3 linked regions of the Alligator mississippiensis genome follow. The protein of the gene in region 3 purifies or fractionates together with the protein of the main gene of each other region. This does not show direct contact. Links are inferred from orthologs where the notes say so. Each region holds a gene or a part of one and is shown on either strand. Other genes may lie near its edges.

Region 1 (7,986 bases), on a different chromosome or scaffold from region 3:
CTTGTTTGAGGGGGGGGAACTGGCATTGCAGCAGGTTGTAAAATTTGGCAAATATGGGTTATTTTAGATGAAGGGAGAGGATGTTCCAAAATTCTGGGCTCTGTAAGGAGAACAGGCTGCAACTTCCTCTTATAAACCTGAGACTCCAGCTTCAGGATTTCCAGTCCCTACATATATGAGGTCATTTCCTGGAGTGAGGCGCAGCTTGTTTGAATAAGCAAGTTTCAAATGAGTTAAATGTACAGTCAAATCTTCTTAAACTCCATTGAAAAAATATGAAACAGATAGTGCAGATCCTAGAGCATAACTGACTTTGTGCTCTTGATGAGAAACTCTACTAATCAAAGCTGCACTGGTTTCAGTTTCTGAGTTGACTTTAAGGTGTAGCCCTGTGCACAGTACTTTACTGTAATCTAATCTAAGGTGAAAAAGGCACGGATCATATTTGTAACGTTTACTTCTGAAAGAAAGAGTCGCATCTACTTAGCCTGACAGAGATAAAAGAAACTCATCCTGGTCACTGGTGCCATCTGATAGTGTAACAGCAGCTGAGAATCTAACAGAACCCCCGTTCCTCAGACTGGAATAACAAATGATGAATACATGTCCTTAGCAAAAGGAGATAAAATCCTCCTCATATCTTTTGGCTGCATTTTCATTATCAACATAACTTCCTATTTACCTGGACCCTGACTCACTAATTAGTCCTCTTCTATAGATCAGTCTCTACAAAACACTAACTAGTTTAGATGATAAAAAAAGAGCTGGAGCTTTGTCTTAGTAACATGCCGAGCAATCTCATACCTATCTGTTCCATATGCTTGTTGGATTTATAAGCATTATCTTGACAACATGTTGATGTGAAAGTTGGTGATTAAAACACATAATTTTAGAAAGTGCTGCTATAAGTTAGTACTACATCTGCTTTAAAACTGCTTTTTAAATGTAATAATCTGATCTTGAACAAAATATTCAAAACAAGTGGTTTTCAACCTATGGCCCATGGACCCCTGGGGGTCTGCAGACTATGTCTAAGGGGTCCATGAAAGATGATTATGTTCAATCAAAAGTATGTGAATACCCACATTTACAGTTCAAAGGGGTCCGCACCTCCATTCATAATATGTTAGGGGTCCACAAATGAAAAAAGGTTGAAAACCAGTGATCTACATATATATGTATACAGCTTCATAGTACAGAGAGCACAGAGGAAAAAAAGGGGAAAAGGAAGTATTTGAAATCTTATGACAGTGTATATTTCTGAACTCTGAATGGTTTAAAATGTTCAGTGTTTGTGTATAAGTAAACTTCACCATGAAGAAATCTGAAACAATTGTGATACTAAATAATAACAAAAGAGTTTCTTAAATGCCAAATCAGCCCATCAGTGCTGTTGGCATCACTGTAATAAAACACATATTCCCTAGTTCTTTTAGAAGACTATTGATAAAGTGTTACATGTTTTCTTGAAGAGATCTTCAACAGTATAATTGTTTCCACAGTATTTCTCTCATATGCTGTCTGAAATCATCAGCAGATTATCTGTGTTTCTCTAAAGCCAGCAGCTTTGGATCTAGTTCTGGCATCACTACATCAAGTGCATGTTGCAGACACACCACCTGTTTGAACTTAAAACTGCAGATTCTTAATTTATGTATAAGACACCCTAATACTAGAGTGATGAGGCACTGATATATGTAGATAAAACTGGTCTTAAACTAGTTTAATTAAAAAGAAAGAAATTTGGTCTAGCTAAAATGAACTGAAAAGCTCCCAGGAGCAGATCCAAAGGGGCCCAGTTGCACTTCGTTTTCCAACCACACAGTGGGAGCAGCAGCCAGGGATTCTTTTTTAAAATCCTCAAATTGGGTAATAATTGCTCTCCTGCCCTCCACTTCATGTTCAGTGGGATGTCACCTCCTCCCCCACACCCCTGGCTGCTTACCACTAGTGCTATCCCCAGGTGCCCCAGGAGCAGGGGGAAATTCCAGAGCCTTTGCTGTCCCACTTTAGCCAGGCTGCCCAGGGAATTGGGCTCAGTTCAGGACAGTGGCAGTGGTGGTACCAGATGAGTACCTCTTCTCTGCCTAGGACTCCCACGTGTACTCTGCCAGCTTGGGAGCAGGCTTATGGAGGCAGACCCTACCTGCCATCACTGCTGCTGCTATCCCTGGCTAAGCCCAACTCCCTGCAGAGCCCAGCTGCAGCAGGGCAGGAGAGGCTCTGGAGCTCCTTCCTTCCCTGGGACAGCTGGATAGTGGGGACAGTGGCAGCAGGGGGCAGGGGAGAGGAAATGCCACTGAGCATGGAGGGAAGATTCTTACCTGATTTCAACACTTAAAAATGTGTTCCTATGGCATGGACTACCTGTCCTGCTGGAGTAGGGGAGAATTTGAGAGCTGGGGTACAGCTAGTAGTTGCTGCTCCTGTACCCTCCCCCCACTTTACAAAATTCAGGATCTGCCCCATGGAAGCTCCTCACATCATATGCAAGGGCACCAGTGGACTGGACAAAATGGAGATGGAACTATAATCCAAGTTCCTCTTCCCAGGTGAGTGCCTTAACCATCTGGGTAGAGCCATGCTCTCTCTTTGGCCCAATGCATGTTGAATTATTTTATTTAAAGTACAATAGTTGCAAGAGGATAAATGGAGGTTTCAGTCCCCCTAGGTTCATCTAAATTTCCCACTTTTTGCATGAGCCTGAATTGTGCACGAGGGGAGCAGCAGCATTCATCCCCCATTCCCCACACGTGCATTAAAAAAAAAAGTACCTGCCCCTTCACTTGTAAAGCCTCTTAGGAACGCTTTGAAAACATCTACTAAGAGATAGGCAGAAATCCAAGGCTATCTGGATGTAGTATACCAGTAACTCTGCTCATGCAGTGCCTGGAATAATTAACAGAGGTCTAAAAACAAAGCTAGTTACCTCAGGTGCAATGCTGCATGGACATGGCTATATTGCTTCTAGTCTGGGAGCTAGCATGCAAAAGCCGCTGTTATCCCTACATAATGGTTGGACCCATGTAGCTGTACTCTTGGGCTGCTTGCAGATGTTTTAAAAAAAACCCCAAAACTGCTTCCCCAGAAGCAGCAGCATGTTACTTCCACCCAGCTCTGCAGCATCTGTATAGATTAGGCACTTCAGCGGGGCTTTTTCGTGCTTTCATCTAAAGCTAAGTCAATCAGGTAGTAGATGAAAGTGCCCCAAAAGCCCCACTAAAGCACCTGATCTATACAGATGTTGGGTGAGCCAGGTCCAACTAATGTGCTGCCTCTTTTGGACATGTGCTGGGCTTTGTGCAGGAGCCCATCGGGTTTAAAGCAAGGTGCAAGTGGCCCTGGTTTCTAGATCTCCCATATGCTCAGGTGAGGCAGGTGCTAAGTTACTCAGCCCTGTTAAGATAGAAGCACTTTGGGGTATGGTCAGTAACAGAACTTGAGAAGTGAAGGACTTCAATGTACAACTTACAGGACAGGTGCTTGTAGGACTAGGCAGCAGCTGAGTGTGATTTATAGAACTGCACTTTTGGTGGAAATCACATTATTTACTCAAATCCAAAACCGTGAATTGAAGATGACCCCCACAATAATTAGAGTCTATACATGGCAGAGCAGGGAGTAAGGAATCAGGCAGTAGAGAAAGCAGGTGTTGTGGGGGTGGTGGAAGGGAGCAAGCAGCTTGTCCCCCACCACCTGTCCTCCCCCTATTTCAACCCCTGTGCTTGGCCCTTACTCCCTCTTACCTCCCCAGCCCCTTCCCCTCCTACTTACCTTTGCTCCAGCCCTGGCAGGCTCTGTCCATGCTGCAGCCTGGGGCCTGGAGCATGGGGTGCAGGTGGGGTACTGGTGCCACAGGGCTGGGTCGGAGCCATGCTCCAAGCCACAGCAGGAGATGGTGGCAGGGGTGCAGAAGAGCAGAGAGTGCAGAGGGGCAGCACCGGTCAGAGCCAGACACCCAGCCCTCTCCTGCCCTGCTCGGTTCCAAGACGAGGGGCTCCCCCATGCAAGGGGAGGACATCTCGTCTTGGGCCCGAGGCAGTGGGGTCGGTGCCCGAGGGCTGTCCTGGCTTTCAGCCGCCTGGCAGCTCAGCACAGCACTACCCTTATCGGTCCAGAAAGGCTGGAGAGGAACAGCTGGCGGGAGCGATCGGCAGGGAGGAGCTGCAGGGCAGCAGGTCAAGCGCTCCGGCCGGGCGGGGCGGGGCAGGGCCGGGCCGGGCCGGGCCCAGCGCCTCACGCCGCCTCCTCCTCTCGTCCCCGCAGGGCGCGGACGGCAGCTGCTTCCCGGGCCACGACCGGCTGAGCTTCGCCTACATCAGTGTGGACCCGCGGCGGCGACACGTGCACGTGCTGTCCCACTGCGCCGGGGCCGCCTCGCCCGCCCGCTGACTCCGCGCGGGCCCGGCCACAATAAACCTCCTCTCTTCGCCTCGCCTCCGTCTCCGTCTGTCCCCGCGGCCGGCCGCTCCCGCACCACCCGGGAGCCCCAGCCCGAGCCGGTCCCTGTGCAGGCCCCCCACCCCCGGCGCGTCACGCGGGTCCCGCCGGGCACCGCCCCCCGCTCCCGCCCCGCCCCCGAGGCCGAAAGTTTGCTGCAAAGTTTTCTCGCTCGTTTAATTTTGCGTTGCACGGACGTCCCGGCAGCGCCGGCCCGCGTGGGCGGGCGGGCGGGCAGGCGGGCTGGGTGGGTGAGTGAGTGAGAGGGGCGGGCCGAAGTCCGGGGACGCGGGCGGGCCGGGTGTGCGGGACAGCGAGCGGGCGCGCCGTGTCGAGCGGGGCAAGACGGAGGGGCAGCGCCTGGCGGGGCTGGGCCGGGCTGGGCGGGGCGGGACCCGGCGCGGGCGGGCGCGGACAGGGGAGGGGGCGGGGCGGGTGCGTCTCAGAACTTTTGTTTGGCCTCTTGCGCGACTTAGTTTCCGCCGCCGCCGGGACGGAGGCGCCGGCCGGGCTGGGCTGGGCCGGGCCGGGCTCGCGGGGCGGCCAGAAGCGGGAGCCCCGGCGGGCGCGGGCTCGGAGCCGCTGCAGCAGCAGCAGCCATGGATCCGGGACAGGCGCCCTCACAGCAGCAGCAGCCGCCCTCGCAGGCGCAGCCCCCGGCGCAGCCGCCGCCGCAGCCCGCCGGGGCTGGGGCCGGGGCCGGGACGGGCGCGGCGCAGCCCCCGGGCGCGGGGCCGCCGCCGGCCGGACACCAGATCGTGCACGTGCGGGGCGACTCGGAGACCGACCTGGAGGCGCTGTTCAACGCCGTCATGAACCCCAAGGGTGCCAACGTGCCGCACACGCTGCCCATGCGGCTCCGCAAGCTGCCCGACTCCTTCTTCAAGCCGCCCGAGCCCAAGGCCCACTCCCGCCAGGTGAGGCTCCCGCCCAGCCCCTCCGCGGCGCCCCCGGGGAGCCCGGCTTTGGGCCCGGGTCGAAGCAGCCCGGGGGCTGCCCCCGCTGCGGGGAGGAGGCGCGCTGCCAGGCTGGGACGTGGCCCGGTGCCATGTCCCAGCCCCGCTGTCGCAGCTGTGCCAGTGGAAGAGGGCTCCCCGCCTGCGGCGCAGTAGCTAGGGTCTTCCTGCTCGCTCGCGCACACAGCAGAAGTTTTGGAGGGCTTGACTCTCCTGCCCACGCTGGCAGTAATAGCCTTCCTGGTCCCTTTGTGGCAAGGTGGGGACTAGATTTCAAGTGGACGGGGATTTCGGCCCCTGATGCCTATAAGGAACCAGGGGTGCAGCTCACTTTTTTTTTTTGGATTTGCTCCTTGCAAGATGCGTGTCAAATGCTACCGAATCAAAATGGTCGTTTATGCTCTGTTGGGAACCATGATGCAACGCTCAGGGCAGTGGTGCATCAGGCATGACAGCGGGGGAGATGGGATCCTGCTCAGAAAACTGTAAGGCTTTTTGTTTGTGCGTTCAAAGTTTACAACAACAAAAGGTAGACGAGAAAGGTTGATAATTTATATTCCCCATGTCCTGGCAACAGCTTAAAGCTTGCTTTGACTTTGTTTAACTTGCTTTGAGCGACGAGCTAACAGCATTGAAACAAGTCAGAAGTTTGAAAACAACTTCTTATACCCGAGTCTCTCGCAGACAATTCAGTAAGGTCAAAGTAGGTGTGTTTCTGCTGAAGTATCTTAATGGGAACTGTTTACTCCCAACAGGCCAGCACTGATGCAGGTTCAGCCGGAGCCTTGACTCCTCAGCATGTCCGAGCTCATTCATCTCCAGCTTCGCTGCAGCTGGGAGCTGTCTCTCCGGGGACCCTTACCCCCTCTGGAGTAGTGACTGGTCCTGGACCTGCCTCATCTTCTCAACATCTCCGTCAGTCCTCATTTGAGATCCCCGATGATGTTCCTCTGCCACCAGGTTGGGAAATGGCTAAGACACCATCTGGCCAGAGATACTTTCTTAAGTAAGTAAAATAGAGTTATAAAAAACAAGGTTACATTTTTTAACGAAGCTCACTGTCCATGTTTAAGAACCTTTGTGTATATAAGAATATGTGCCCCTTTAATATATCAAATACATTTAAAAACTATGGGTCATGATTTTCAGTAGTATAGCTCTTTATCTGATTTGAACTGGGGGTGTAGATGTTGAACCCTGAAAGTTATGCCTAGGTGTGAGAAACATGCCTCATTCTTGGCATGTCTCATCTTGGATTAGTTATTTTTGGGCGTGTTTTTAAGTCTGTTGTAACATATAGTAACTTTAATACTTGGAGTACAATAAAGCAAGGTCATTTAAAGGTATACTTTGGGTCAGTATTTGGAAAATTGCTGAAAATGGATATCAAAGATTAAGAAACTTTCAGCAGTATTGCAGTGAGAATACTGGATGACTGCTGATTACTTTTTTTTTTCTTTGGAAGTACAGTGTCAGGTTCCTATGAAGTCTTATTGGTACATGAACCTGATGGGGCCTGTAGTTCTTAAAACTAACTTTGGAATGAAAGGTGAATGTTGGAATTCTTAAATGTTTTTTGTTTTCACTACTTTGGCTTTTTAAAGTAGTGAAATTAATATAACTTTTTCTCTTGCTGAAGAGGTTACACATGCCAGCACTCTGACATGTCATCCATCAGGAGATGCTCTGTAGAGTTTTCTAAAACAGCAGAAGCCTGTCCTCCTTTTTGCAAGTGTGTGCACAACTCTCGTTCAATCACTAGGTTTCAAGTAACATATTATTTGTCACTTCAGATTTGAAGGGACGGAACCACTAGCATTAAAAAAAAATTATATTCTTACTACCTTGCTAGTCTAAAAAGTGTTCTAAACTTTTTTGTGGTTCCATTTGCTGAAATAAAATATCCAAGCCTGAAATTATATTCGCAGAAGACCTTAATATCTGTGGCTGGGACATGCTTTCCATGTAACTGCACTATGGCTCAGAATGAAATAGGGACCTAATTCAATGCCCATAGAAGAAGCCCCCTTGAAGATTTACCATTGTTTCCTATGAAGCACAAAGTTTGTTCTTATGAAATATTTTGCCTAATTTCACTGTTAGAATTAGGCAGTTTTATGCCAGTTGAGAATGTGACCCACTGGACCTTGAAGAGCAAAACATAGTTTTCATATAATTCCAAAACTTGTATATTATGCTCGTTATACTCTTAACTAGCTTAAATAGAACACGACAAAGATGGTATTTAAAAAAAAAAAATGCTCTATCTGTAGTGCTAATTATTATTTGCATTTAGATCGATGCTTTAAATTTTATAGAGGGAGCATTACAGTTGTTGTGGTAGACGAAAAGAAATCCTTGCACTCCTATAATTGATTCTTTAATTATGCTCATTTAGGTGAAAGCAGAGGGAAGGATTTGATCTTGGAAAGCTTTTCTACAGTTTCGCTATTATTACAGAAAATCTTCCTTTTTTCCTGCAAGTTTTCTTTTTTGTCTGTCTTGGTGTCTTGGTATCCATTTCAAAGAGTCAGGTTTCAGCAAGAACAATAAAGAGCCTGAGACTGGAAAGTACACACAAGTCTGGCAA
Region 2 (6,956 bases), on a different chromosome or scaffold from region 3:
ATACGCTCCCCATGGCCCTGACACTCCATACAGACCGACTGGATTTGCTGAACCATTCCTGGTCCTATCTGGTGAATTCTTATTTGCATGCCTGTACCTCTGCAGTTGGGACAGCATTCCACTGCACCTTTCTTACCACCTCGACCTGATAACAAGACAGCAGAATGAAAGGATTTGACAACTGAAATGAACTCCAAATAAAACATATCAAAAGTACACTTATTTAGTTTATTGAAAACAACTGTTTTCACCTGAACATAATTTTTTGTAAAGATAAACAAAAAATGAGTTAGTGGAATTCAGTTAACAAGTTCCCTGGAGTTCTAGACTGTAGTACAGAAAACTTACCTTCACATTTGTCACAAATCACATTCTTTTGCAGAGCCAGTTTTCTTGTTGCCCCATTGTACAAGTCCTCTAAACTTACTGACAACTGATGAACAACATTTTTACCTGTAAAAAACACACTCATTATTCCAGACTTTGTAATTCCATGCTAATCAGATTTTGTTCTCTTATTTCTCAACTGAAATCAACTAAGACCCAATTCTTCAGAACATAGCACATTTACTAAAGGAAAATACTTTAACACAAGCCAACTGCCCATCAGGAATGACAGGGTATAGGGACAAAGCAGGCAGGGTGGGGGATAGGAGGGGAGGGAGGGAGCTTGCTCCACCATCCCATGCTGCCTCCAGGGAGCAAGGCTCCATCTCTGCCATCATGGCAGCACTCTGCCATCATGGCAGCACTCTGCCATGCACTGCCTCCTGTCTGGAACACTCTTGGAGCACTCTGATTGGTTGTTTCCCTCAGTATTGTGATTGGTTGTCTCAGCAGCCAGTCAAGAGTGCAGATACAGCATTACAGACAGACTAAGGCTTTTATTATATTAGAATACATAAAAAAGCAAGCAAGCATAGGACTCATAACATAGCACTATTAAAGTACTAACAATAAAAGATAATGGTCCTATGCTAACATTTCCCCCCACCATTCAACATGGTGGAGAAAAAGCAGCAACTTCTTACTTCATGTAACATGAAATTTGGAGTCTATGGCTGTACTGTTTTTTGTACTAGTCACACCTTGGTGCATGTGCGCGCGCGCACACACACACACACACACACACACACACACACACCCCCCCACCCACCCCCCGTAAGGAAGAATTATATAAAGATGTGTTCTAGTTAAATAACATTAATCTGTTAAATCACTTAAAAAAGCTTAGGCTAAATTAAGAACTAGACAATTTAGTGCATTATAAATACGATGAAATAACCACCTCAAACTATAACTTCCAAACCTCTAAATACTGGAAGCTCTAAGGGAAGAGGGAAGGGAGACAGATCAGTCCAAGAGGCCCTACATAAGTTTTTTCTTGCTACTCTGCTACAAAACAAGGATACCATCCTAGGTCAGTGGTACTCTATATTCTAGTCCTGCCAGCTGGATCCGATGCATGGAATCAGTCCCTAGGCTAGATCCAAAGGAGGGTCAGGCTGCAGTTATGCCAGCCCAGCCCCACACACTAGATCTAGTGCATGGGGGCATGTCACCCGACCTGCAGGGCACTCCACAGGTTTAAGACTAGAAGTTGGAAGTATGGCAGCTGTGGCTGTATTAAAGTGCTGTAACTTAATCCAGAGCAGCAGCAATTAATGTTTCCCCTACCTCCCCACAAGATTTTCAGGCCTCCAGGGAGCCCCATGCAAGACATGCCCCACCACCCAAGCTGGAGGTTGAGCACCACTGCCTTAGACGGACCTGTTCCGACCCAGAAGAGTATTTATGTTCTTTAGAAAAGTTTGGCACATACAGTTAGCTTAATCTTCAAACCTCAAGTTTTAGACAATGACACCACTGATGTCTTGTGACACCTACCTATTACTATTCATACAAAGTTAGTATTATAACTCATTATACACTAAACATTCAGAAAATAAGCTTTAGATTACTGTGATAGTTTTCTTGTTTTCAAGCACCAGCATAGGAAAATTGGCACCATTTAGTTATTAAAAAGTGTAGCCACTCCATCTTTGTCTTTTCTTGAACTCTAACAGAAGCAAGTATGATCTCTCTCAACTGTATTCAGGGAGGGTCCGGTATATGCTCGACTGCCAGTGTACCCAACATGACAAAAAGGTTGCATACCTCGCCTCTCTCTTTGCATTCTTCCACCTCCTCCAAAGAACATGTCAAATATATCCATGGGGGACCCAAAGCTACAGCCAGAACCACCCTCTTTAATGGCCTGCTCGCCTCCTTTGTCATATAAGTCTCTTTTCTTGGGATCAGAAAGAACTTCATATGCTTGAGAAATCTGTTTGAACTGCAACAGAAGCCAGCACATTAACTAAATCCACAAGGAGATGTGACAAAACCAGACATTTCCCCCCCCCCAATCCCTTTAACACCAACAATTATTAGCTTTAAAACAGCAGCCCATTTGGAGCTGGTGAACAAACTTCAACCGAGCCAGCCTTTACAGGGGAACTTTCCCCACCCCCCGTTCCCGCTGTGCTCAGGCACAGCCACAACCAGAAACCCAAGCTGGGAAGAGGCCTGGTGCTTCTGCTGCATTCCTGGATCAGGGACCCGAGCAAAAGCACCCACAGGGAAGCCCTGCAGGCACCTCTCATAAAGAGAAAGTGGGAAGAGAAGAGAGACGAGGCGAGGCGAGGCGAGGCGAGGCGAGGCTCCCACCTCTCCCCTCCCCCCCACGTCGCTACCTTCTCGCCCTCGTTGGGGTTTTTGTCGGGGTGGTACTTCAACGCCAGCTTGCGGTAGGCCTTCTTCAGCTCCTCCTGGGACGCGCTGGGCTTCACGCCGAGCACATCGTAGTACGTCGTTTCTTTCACCATCGTGAACGGCGACCTGCGCGAGCCGCCTCCGTCAGCCGCGCAGCACCTCCCGCGCCGCGCCGCGCCTGTCCCAGCAACCCCGGGGTCAAAGGGCCGACAGCGCCGCGTGGGCCCCAAGGCTGCGCCCCCCAACCCCCACCCCGGGGCGGCAGCAGCAGCGCCCTACCTGGCTGACTGGCGGCGCTGGCTCCGGCGGCTCCCGCGGCCTCCCGACTTTTCTGGAAAGTTCCAAACAAGGCTCGGCATCCGGAGCCTTTTGTAGCCGGGGAGGCCCCGCCCCGGAAGCTTCGTCCCCTCGTTGCCGGGTAGCCGGGGGCGGGAGGGGGCGGAGCGCGGGAGCGGGAGCCAATGGCAGCCTCTGACCTCGCTTCACCCCGCCGACTCGGGCCGCCCGGCTACAGCCCCCAGCGTGCGCTGCGGCCGCTTGGCGGACTACGACTCCCAGCGGGCGCCGTGGCCGAGTGGGGTGGTGGGGGTGTGGTGCATGCTGGGAGTTTTGCCGCCCCGCGCCGCGGGTTGTGTGATGTATTTCCTGGTTTAACCTTGTTTCCAAACGAAGCACCTGAAACACGGGCGGGGCGATGCAGAAATGAGGCAAAATGCCAGAGTTGCAAGTTTCAAGGCGCCACCGCTCTCGGGCTGGCGGTAGAAGCGCTCCATGCAAGGAAACTTGGGATGCCGCCCTGCACAGCCGTGCATTAGCAGAGCCGTGACTTTATGCGGGACCGGTAACGAGGTACGTTTTGTACCTCGTTAGGGGAGAAAAACCCCGCAGATACACCTGCTGGGCGGTGGCTAACATAGCTCCCCGGGGAGCCTTTGTGTGCACCAAGTATTCCTGAGGAAAGAAAGGCCGGATTTCCGGGGCTCAGTTAATTCAATCACAGACTTCCTTTTATATCGTTGCACAACCTGCCCGCTCGGTTTGAAAGATGGCAAATGAGCCCCCCCCAGCACTGAGCGGAGGAATAGTTCAAGGTGAAACTAGTTCCATTGGAAAACACGGTGGGGGTTCACCACTGTAGGCAAACACCATAAGAACAGAAATGCGAAACCGATTGCGATTGCCCTAAGGTGAGTGACATGCATACAAGTAAAGATAAAACATTGTAGATTATGACATTTTATTTTAGCTGGATGCCGTTATGGCTTTGTAATCTGAAGTAGTTTGATATTCCCAGCATTTACTTTCTTCCTAAAAGAAGGGCCATCCAGAAGATAATATATATGTAAATAAACAGCCTTCCAGAATTGAGGGCTGGGAGAGGCCCAAAGCCTAGCTATTACAAAGTAGGACCCCAAAACAGAGATGCTTAATACCCAATTCAGCAGCAGATTGTGTGCCCTTATGTGGAGACAGCTGAAATAAAGCAGGCTCAGTAGCTAGTAAAAATGGTTGAGCACCTTGCAAGAGCACATCTGGTACAAGTATATATGCTGAATGCATATTGGACTGCTTTTTAGCCCTCCCTGCTGTCTTTGGGTCGACAGGACTGAAATAGGTGATTTCTCACTTCTGTTCAGTAAGCTTTGTGAAGCGAATCAGTGGTCTCTTGTCATTTCTAGAGCATAGATATTCTGCTTGTAGAAATCTGGATGTGGAAGGGCAGGCGCCATATTTCCTCTGCTTTTGCACAATGCTGAGCATAAGTAAATGCTCAAACGATAATTGCTGTGACTGTCAGCAAGAATGCCTGAGAGGCTGAAGGTAGAAGTTCGCACACATTCCTATAGCACCATTTCCTGCTTTCATCTTGCCTTCAGTATCAGAAACTGAATTTTAGAAAGCCCGTCCCTGTTGGATCGTGCAGCTTGATTATCTCTTTCATTCTCTGCTGCCCCCCCTGCCTTTTTTTTTTTTTACTCAACACACATTTCAGAGTGCTTGAGGGATGTCCCATTATCCTGCTGTGTATCTGAATCATCTTCTATTTTCCTCTTCTCACTGAGATCTCTACAGCTTGCTCCACCCTGGGAAAATCCATTCCTATGCTTGCTTCACCTGTCGCAACCCAGTAATACTTGTCATTTTCCTCCAGCTCTTTCCTACTGCTCCATTTTCCCACTGTTCCTGCTGTCTTCCTCTACCAGCCCTTGGCAGGACTTCTTGTCCTTCAGGCGAGGATGCTGGCAAGAGCATGAAGGGAGACTAGGGAAAGGGAGGGCAGATTGTGGGACAGTTGAGAGAGCAATAGAAAAAATGCGCTCCTTGTCACGAGCCTTATTTAAGGGGTCTGTATGCTGTGTTCTGGTGGGAGGACTTTATGTAATAAAATGGCCATGAGTGTCTAGGGGCATGTGTAGATGAAACAGGGATTAATGTTGAGCGCACCTGAAAATTTTAACCCGGCTTTGTTTTGGTGCGGTGCGTTTGTGTTTGCACGACATGGCGCTTTTGAGTGACTTAAGTCTCCTGTGTCATTGCCTGCAGATTCAGTAGGGGGAGGTCAAATACCAATATACCCCCACCCCCAATGTCTTTCCTAATGTATTACAGCAGGAGGCACATGTAAGCCTGCTTCCCCTGTCCCCGCCCCTGGCCTCTCACTGGGAGTCTCCCCCGGGCACAGTCACCCCAAAAACCTTGTTACTTGCATCCACCTATGCTCGGTCGGTCGGTCTAGTCTCTCTCCGTCAGTATGCGACCCCAAAGACCCCCATCACAATCCCCATTCCAAAAATAAGCCTTGTGAATCCTCCCATCCTGTTCCTTTCCCTTCCCATCCCACCATGTTACAAATACATGTGCTTTTTCTTTTATTTACTTTATAGCTGCTATAATACCACCAAATGTTCAGGGTTCAGAGTAGTGGGTGGGTGGGTGTTTGTTGCTGCCTAATTGACTGGCAATTGCTGTCGATGATGCTGGTGGTGGCAGTGAGCAGGCGAGCTCTTCTGTGGTTTATTGTTGTTGTTGTTCTGGTGTTTTTGGACTACATTTCCCAGCATCCCGAGCTCACTGATCTTCATGCAGTTTTCAGTGGGGGCTCCCATTGAAACCTTCCAGTTCCCTGCCCAGTACCACCGTCAGTCTGTTTGTGTAGTGTCACATGGCTTTTGGGGGTGTGTTATGAAATGTTTTATAAATGTTTTTGAAAATGTGGGTTGCTGTTCAGCTTCGTCCCCCACCCACCTAGCCCACCAAAAGCTATAGTTAACCTTCTTGCCCACATGGTGGGGGGGGCTTTTTCAGATGTAGGTGATAGTGTGTAATGCCCCCCCCACAAACCACTTACAGGCTGGAAGCAGCAAACCCCTAGCCCAGTCCACATTTCCTACCCCTTCCCCTGACCGTCCTCCCCTCTAACCCCCCCGTCCGCAACACCGCACGCCCTTGTCTACAGACACAGATTTAAAGTGCAAATCAATTTATTTTAACATAACCAAGAGAAAGAACAAAGCGCTCTTAGGTGTTGTTGTCAGTAATATATCCCGCCAGACAATCATGCACAAGGGACACCCAACCAGCCTCTCCTTGAGGATTTCTCCTCAGTCCCTGTGCTGCTGCAGCCTGGACACGTCTCTGTTGTCTGGCCACTGCCTGTTGCGCTGCTTCTTCCCGCGACTCCTTGAAAATCTCCATGGCTCTCAGATACTGTGTAGCATGCAGACTGCCACTACAAAGGCCATGATATTTTCTGGCTCCATCTTGAGCTGGCACATAAGCGCCCTCCGTCGTCCTTTCAGTCAGCCAAACGCACATTGCACGGCCATCCTGCAACTGCTCAGGTGGTAGTTAAAAAATCAGCTTCTGCATGTTGGTGACATTCCCTCCATAAGGCTTCATGAGCCAGGGCTTTAGGGAGTAGGCAGCATCTGCTAATACAACCGGGGAACAGCAACACCACGGATCACTGTCTCCTCCACGCCAGGTGCGTAGTGTCCTTTCTCCACGAGGCCAGGCAGAGGGGAGTTTCTGAACACACATACATCATGCGTGCTGCCAGCCCACCCAGTATAAATGTTTGAGAGCCAGCCCTGGTGGTCCACCACAGCTTGCAGGATCATGGAGGCATATCCTTTCCTGTTTATGAAAGCCCTCCCCCTCCCCACAGGGCACAGCACTGGGATGTGAAATGCCCCCATGCA
Region 3 (7,496 bases):
AACAGAGTATAATACTATGAAGGAAGAGCCCAGATGTGCCTAACTCCTGGGTAGAGCAGGACACAAGGAGGGCAAGATGCAGCCACCCCTGGGGTCAAACACCATAGAGGGAGGGCCAAGATGCACCCAATTCTGGTGTGAAGCAGTTTAGAAATGGCTGCATATAAAAGGACACAAGGAAGGTGATATGTGCCCAGCTCTGGGGTTGGGCAGTTGAGAAATAGCTAAGTATAACACTGCTTGGTTTCTAGCCCCACAACTCTGCCAGGGGGTCGGACAGGGGGAAGCAGATAAGGGCCTGGGGTGCAGATGCAGGGTAGAAGCCACTCACCCACAGCCCGGAAGAGACAGGCCCCATCTTCCTTCATCTGCTTGATAATGAAGCCTTTCTTTTCTCTCAATGCCTTCTCAAACCTGTGCTCCTGCTGGAGGCAAGAAGGGTGGAGTCAGCAACTGGCCAAGCCCCAAGACCTGCCCCCTGGACACCACCCCCACAAGGCTGCCAAGCTCTTCCCTTCTGTGGCTCACACCCCCATATACCCCACCAGGGTCCCAGTGAGAGACTCAAGCACACAGGGAGTCCAGAGTCTGGGGCCCACCTCCCTTTGTCCAGCATCAACACCAATGCAGATACCCAGCATCCAGCACCCCCACCTGCATAGACACTGAACCCAGGGGCTCCTCCCTAACCCTGGCACACGCATGAAACCCTGGTGTCCAGGCACCCCCAGTCTCAGAACCCAGGTGTCCAGCATCAACATTCACACAGAACCCAGGCATGGGGGGCAGCTATACCTCAGCTGCCCCTCCTCCATCTCTGCTCCTCCCAGATCACACAGGGGCTACTTCACCCCAGAGACCCCTCCTTTTTCCTCCAGGTCACACAGGGGCCCCCACTCCTCCCCTCTCCCCCCACCCCAAGATCATACAGGGGCAGGGTCCTCTCACACTGGAGTTGCCCCCTAACCCCAGAGACCGCCCCCCTACCCTCTCCTCCCCTCCCCCACACCACACAGGGGTCCCAGCCAACCCAGAGACCCCCCCCATGCCTCCCCTTCCCCCAGAGACAACCCCCCACCCCAACACAGCCCCTGCAATATCACATGGAGGAATATGGGGTCCCCTCCCCCAGAGTTTCCCTCAATCTCTTCCCTGCCCCAGTCCAAGAACCCTCCATTCCCCCATATTGTACATGGGGTGTTCCCTTCACTGGAAACCCCCCTCCCCCAGATCACAGCTTCTCCCAAATCACATGGGGGCAGGGGACTGTTCTCACCCGAGCCCCCCAAATATCTCCCCTTTCCCCCCACATCACAGCCCTCCCCCAAATCACATAGGGCCTTCCCTACCCCAGAGATCACCCAATCTCTCCCCTCCCCCACCACAGACCCCCTTCCCTGACAGTACACAGGGGGTCCCTTTACTCCAGAGACCCCCCCCCCCAATCTTTCCCCTCACCTGATGCCCCCCTCCCACAGATCACAGCCCCACTCATCATATGGGGAAGTGGGTGCCCCCCCAATCTCTCCCCTTTCCACACATCACAACCTCCATTTCTCTCCTCCCACACCCCAAATCATACAGGCGAACCCCCTCACACCAGAGACCCCCCCCATCTCTCCCCTCCCCAGACCCCCGCACATCTCCCTTCCCCACAGGGGTTCACCTCCCTCCACACCCCCACAGACCCCCCTACCCACCTGCTCAGCCGCAGCTGGATCCCCGCTGTCCCCTGGGGGGCCGCCCCCGGCCCCCCCCCCGCCGCGGGGAGGGTCGTACTCGTCCTCACTGTTGTAGCCGCCGCCTGCCTCATCCCCATCGCCGGCCCCCAGCCCTAGCCCTAACCCTAGCCCCAGGCCCAGGCCCAGCCCTGCTGGCCCAGATCCCCCCCCGGAGGCGCCGCCGGGCCCGTAAGCCAAGCCCAAGCCCCCCCGCCGCCGCCTCTTACTGTGGCCGGGCCCCGCGCAGCATCCGCCCCCCACGCCTCCGCCGCCCGCCCGGGGGTCATCCAGACCCAACCCGGCCTTGGCCTCGGGGGCGCCGGTGGTGGGGGGAGGGGACGGTGCCCCCCAGCAGCGGGGCGGGGGAGGGGCTGGGGGGGGAGGGGAGGCCCCGCCCCCTGCCGAGCCCACGCGGGGGTCCGGGCTCCCTCCCGGCCGGGGGTCACTGCCCCCCCCCACCCCGGAGCTGCCTGCCGCTCCCCCTCCCGCCCCCACGCGGGGGTCCGGGCTGGGGGGCCCCCCAACGCGGGGGTCTCCTGCCCCCCCCACGCGGGAGCCTGGAGGGTCGGCGTCGCCCCCCGGCTTCTTCTTGGGGAGGATCGTCATGGCCCGCCCGCTGCCGCCGCTGGGCTGGGAAGGGGGGTGGGGTGGGGGAGGGGGGGGAGGACCCGGATGTAGGGGGCTAAGGGCTACAGGGGGGCAAGGACCCGGATGGAAAAGCTAAGGGGAGCCGGGAGAAGGGGTTAATGGGGGGGAGACCCGGATGTAGGGGGCTAAGGGGGGATCCCCGGATGCCAGAGGTGAGCGGAGCGGAAGGACCCGGATGTCAGGGGCTAAGGGGAGATCCCCGGATGTCAGGGGGTGACTAGAGAAGGGAAGGACTCAGAGCTCGGGGGCCGAGAGACCCGGATGGAGGGGGCTAAGGGGGGGGTCCCCTGATGTCAGGGGCTAAGGGGGGAGCAGAACCCGGATGTACGAGGCTAAGGGGGCACCCCCCTGGGGGATCCGGCTGAAAGGGCTAAGGAACGCCTCCCTCCCCAAGGAGGGGGAGGGGCGCAGAACTGGATAAGGGGGGGAAGCGCTCCCCGAGACCCCAGTCTCCGTCGTATTCCCCAACCCCCGCGGCGGCCCGGGGGGGGGTGCAAGACAGCAGGGCAATTAGCCTAAAGCAGACCGATAAGGAAGGCAGCAAGCAAGCAAGCAACCAACGCCCCCTCCCCGCAACCCTCCCCCGTTCCTGGGGTCTATGGAAGGTTTTTGGCCCTTCCCGGCTTCCGCGGCGGGCCCTTTGCGCTCGGCCCCGGCCTAGTGTCAACATCAACACAACCGGCCTCTGACCCCGGCGCGTTCACTTCCGCCCCTACGCCCCTTAGCAACGGAACGTCAAAAGGGACGAGACCCCGACGCGCCTGGGTAACAGCGCCACCGCTTATTGGCTACCGGCCCACAGCTCCGCTGTCATTGGTCGATGGGCTTGGAGGAACGCGTTTGGGATTGGGGGGAGAGCGCCACAGTCAGAGCCGTGTCCCTCCCCCTATCCTCTCGTTCCCCCTCCCACTTCCCATGACAACAACCGGGGTCGGCGGGACTTGGGTGACCCTCCTTGACATGCGCTCACTGATTGGTCACGGCGTAAGGTCGCCTATGCTCATTAGCTAAAAGGCCCCGGACATGCATGTGATTGGCTGAGAGGCAGAAGAGCCAAATCTTATTGGCTTGGGAAAAAGGGGGACTAACCTCCGGTTGGCTGGAGGGACGCTTAGGCCCTGATTAGCCAGGGGGAAACAAGCGTAATCACTGATTGGCTTGAATGGGTTTAAGGGAAATTCCGCCTCGCATGTGAGGGAGGGTTGGAAACAAGATGCTCGCAGCTGATTAGCTAGGGAAAGAAACCTGGACGCGATTAACTGAGGGGCAGAACACCGGTTTATGATTCGTTGGACAAGAACATTCTGCGCTCTGATTGGACCAGAGGGCAAGTCCTCATCTGACTGGATGGGAGCAAATTGCCAATCAGACACACAATGCCCGGGCTTCAAGACGAGCGCGCAGGGATGTGGGGTTTGTATTCGCGGGGGTGAGGTGGGGAGCATATTGGCCCCCTGATTGGATCAGACGGCTGTCACTTAGAAGCAGGCCCTGCCCCTTTTCTTCACTTCTTACCCGCTCCAACTCCCCTGCCAGAGAACCCAGGCGTCCCAGGTCCCACCCCCTGCCCTGCAAATAATGACTGAGCTGTGACATGTCACCAGTTCATTTATTTGCTCAAACTACAGCAGCATAAGCCTCATTCCTTGGCAACGGGCAGGGAAGGCACCCCCCCATCCTGACCCCACCCCCAGCTCCAGGCATGGAGGTGTTAATGATCCGTTGCCCCACCCCTCCCTGAGCCAGGCTTTTATGTATCTGTATATAATACCTGTCTCTATATGTATAGAATTTTCTTATTTTTTAAATGTCTAACAGGAAAAAAAAACCGAAGGGGAACCTGAGTTGAACTTACATTGTCAGAGCTGGCGACAGGACCCAAGCATACAGGAGGGAGGCGCCTCCTGTTGGACTCCCCTTCCTGAGCAGGGAAAGAGCCCAGGTCTCCAGGCTTGTAGCGCCCCCGCCCCACTTCCAGAGTGGGCAGAGAGCCCAGGCCTCCAGGTTCCTCTGACTCAAAAAAAAAAACAAAAACAACCCGGGCTTCCGAGTCTAGAAAGGACCCAGGTGTCCAGGCCTCTCTGGCTCCAGGAGGCCCCTCCCTTGGGCCTCCAGCTCCCAGCCAGCCTGAGGACAGATTCCAGACAGGGGTGCAGGTGGGGGCAGAATCTCTGCCCACCCCCAGTGGCCACGGAGGCAGCTGCATTGTGCTATAGAGTATTTTGAGAAGGGGGCAGGGTCCCAGTCCCTCCCCTCCATTGGTGCTGCCCCCTACCCTACCACAGCCAGTCTGGGCTTGACACAGGTGTCTGGGGCCTCAGCCCTCCCACCCTTGCCCCAACTCCTCCCTAAGCCAGGCTAGAACCTAGGCATCTGGGCCCCTAGACCCCCATGCCCCAGGAAACCTGGGGAAGGGAACCCAGGCATTCAGGCCTCTGCCCTCCCCTGCTGTTGCACTAGTAGGGGGAGGGGTCACGGTTTATGGTCTGAGCTCAGCTTCTGGTCTCTGGAGGAGTCATGACCCCTAGGAGAAGGATGACCTGTGAGGTGAGGTGGATATGGGGGGTAGGGGGTGGGGTTCTCCCCCTAGTGCATGCTGGGAAGGAAGCACCCCCCTGGTGGCAACATGGACACATGCACAGTCCTGCTGTGAGCATAGTAGATGGGGGCACCATGATGTGTGCAGGTGTGGGGGGGCCTGAAGAAGGACCCAGGTATCCTGAAGGAGAGTATCCAGGCATTGCAGGTTCCCATAGCTGGTGACAGAACCCAGGCACCAGGCCCCTTCTCCCCCCAGGCTCCCATGGCTTTTGGTTAATGAGTTCCAGGAGTGGCCCATGTCCTTGCGCCTTGGGAAATAGTTCCTCCCTCCCCAGGCTTGCATAGCTGACCCTGATATATGGCTTTGCTTGTGAAGGGGGCTGGTCTAAAGAGTAGCAGGTGAGGCAGAGGGCCATGCCCCTCCCCCTGCCTTTCCTTTCCAGACCCATGGGAACTCAGACATCTGGGTTAAGGTTGCAGCACACACCTCCTGCCTGCCCCACACAAGAAGAACCCAGATGTCTGGGTAAAGCTGCTCCCTGGCTGGGAGGAACCCAGGCATCCAGGAGAGGAAGAACTCAGGCACCCCAAGCTGGAGGGATCCAGGTGTCCGAGGCAAGAAGAACACAGGTGTTTGGTACAGGCTATGCTCCTAAGCAGGTGGGATTCCAGGTATCCAGGACACGAAGAACTGAGGCATTTGGGATACAAGCACAGGCATTTGGTACAGGACATGCCCCTAAGCAGGACGAACCCATGTGTCCAGGGACTCTGGCTTCTGGAACAGGAAGAACTCAAGTGTCCAGGACAGGAGGATCCCAGGTGTCTGGAGAAGACAGGACCGTGGCATCCAGGAAGGCAGAACTAAGGCATCTGGACTGGGTAGAATACAGGCATCTGGGACGGACGGAACCCAGGCATCTGGGACATGAAGAACCAAGACATCTGGGCTAGGCAGAACAGGGTCCAGGCTGGGCAGAATACAGACACCTGGGACGGGCAGAACCTAGGCATCCGGGACCAGCAGAACCCAGGCGGCTGGGATAGATGGAACCCAGGCATCTGGGTTGGGTTGGGTAGGGCCTGGGCATCCAGGATGTGAAGAACCCAGGTGTCCAGGATAGGTGGAATCCAGGCCAATGGAACCCAGGTGTCTTGACGCAAAGAACCCAGGTGTTCAGGGACTCCCCTCAGAGGGAAGAGATGTGCAGGGGAGGGGGCCGGGGTGCCGGGGGGGGGCTCTCATCAGGGGTGTTGGCAGGGGGTGTGGGGATGCTGATGATGGCTGCTGCCAGTGCTGCTGCCTCGTAGCTCAGCTTCAGGGTATCCGGTGCTGGTGTCGCATTCAGGCTGGACCGGCTAGAGGGAGGGGTGGGGGGCATGAACCCAAGCGTCTGGGCTCCCAGCTCCACCCTCCCCCAAAGTTTCAATGGCTGCCCACTGGATGGCAGCAGAACCCAGTGTTTCCCAACACAAAACTGATAGACATAGGCTGCAAACACGCCTGAGCCATGCAGTATATACATGAAGTACATGCCACAGAAGTGCCCGGAACACAGGACACAAAACTGAGAACATGCCAGACCCATGTTGAGCCAGTGCCATGCACACATCAACTGCACACCAAAAACATTTTGGGATCATGGTAAGCATGTGCTGTGAACATGGTACAAACACACGAAATACATAGAGCACATGCAAGAAAATAGGCTGTGCTCACACCTGGAACCAGGAACACTTGAGCATCCCAAGCACATACCAGAAAGTCATCAAGCACATGCAGGGAAAAAAACTAGGCCCCACACTGGAAACATGCCAAGCCCACACCAAGTCCATACTCTAAATATGCCACCTGCTGGTGCAAGTACACCATGAGCATGCCAGGAACATGCCAAACCCACACTGCAAGCATGCTGCACACATGCCATGAACACACCATGAATATGCCAACCACACGCTGGGAACATGCCATGAGCATGCTAGAAACATGCTAACCCCAATGCCAGGTGCACTGAGAGAACACACCAAGCCCATGCCACAAACATGTTGGGAACACACCAGCCATACCATGGCATACCCCAAGAACACACCAAACACACCGCGAATATGCCAAGCACACCCTGTGAATAGTCCAAGCACATGCAGTACCTGTGAGCTGGCCCCTTGAGGCCCTGCAGGGTGCTGAGCTCCTGGGCAATGGCCCGGCTGCCTGATGGGGTGGAACCAAGGCGGAGGGGGCGGTGGCGTGGTCGCCGGGGGCAACAGGATCCACCCGGAGATGGGGCCCCACTCGAGGACAGCGACAGGCTCCTCCCTGACCGTGCCCCTGGCGACACCCCCCGCTCTGCTGCAAACTCATGGTTCTGGGGTGGGGTCAGAAGAAGGGGGCAGGGCAGGGAAAGGAGGGGTATCATTTCTAGGGCAAGCCCTGACCATACTGACCCTCACTCCCACCTAGGACTAGGGTTGCCAACTCTGACCAAAGCTATTCCAGGAGATTTTCCCCCCCCCAACATGATGTCATGTCATTAATTGTACTGTTCAACCCCTTTGCAATATCAGATCTCCCAGACTGCTGTCAATAAT

The links. Proteins that work in one complex are often made in the same cells at the same time.
Region 1: the proteins of OTUD5 (region 3) and YAP1 purify together in Homo sapiens (affinity purification with western blotting; 3 studies listed by BioGRID). This does not show direct contact. The link is inferred for Alligator mississippiensis from reciprocal best matches to the Homo sapiens genes OTUD5 and YAP1.
Region 2: the proteins of OTUD5 (region 3) and DNAJA1 purify together in Homo sapiens (affinity purification with mass spectrometry, with the first as the bait; 3 studies listed by BioGRID). This does not show direct contact. The link is inferred for Alligator mississippiensis from reciprocal best matches to the Homo sapiens genes OTUD5 and DNAJA1.

What each region holds. Positions count from the first base shown.
Region 1 is NC_081824.1:441,911,199-441,919,184, reverse strand, and holds the start of YAP1 (transcriptional coactivator YAP1), read left to right. Parts: upstream 1-4,908; 5' UTR 4,909-5,039; coding exon 5,040-5,357; intron 5,358-6,151; coding exon 6,152-6,402; intron 6,403-7,986. Other genes in the region: CFAP300 (cilia- and flagella-associated protein 300), read left to right, coding at 4,267-4,392. UniProt on the Homo sapiens protein: Transcriptional regulator with dual roles as a coactivator and corepressor. Critical downstream regulatory target in the Hippo signaling pathway, crucial for organ size control and tumor suppression by restricting proliferation and promoting apoptosis.
Region 2 is NC_081826.1:152,767,808-152,774,763, forward strand, and holds the start of DNAJA1 (dnaJ homolog subfamily A member 1), read right to left. Parts: upstream 3,079-6,956; 5' UTR 3,034-3,078; intron 2,881-3,033; 5' UTR 2,868-2,880; coding exon 2,736-2,867; intron 2,336-2,735; coding exon 2,158-2,335; intron 454-2,157; coding exon 349-453; intron 146-348; coding exon 1-145.
Region 3 is NC_081831.1:28,453,086-28,460,581, forward strand, and holds the start of OTUD5 (OTU domain-containing protein 5), read right to left. Parts: upstream 3,052-7,496; 5' UTR 2,328-3,051; coding exon 1,701-2,327; intron 426-1,700; coding exon 332-425; intron 1-331. Other genes in the region: KCND1 (potassium voltage-gated channel subfamily D member 1), read right to left, coding at 6,101-6,269, 7,059-7,273. UniProt on the Homo sapiens protein: Deubiquitinating enzyme that functions as a negative regulator of the innate immune system. Has peptidase activity towards 'Lys-48'- and 'Lys-63'-linked polyubiquitin chains. Can also cleave 'Lys-11'-linked ubiquitin chains (in vitro).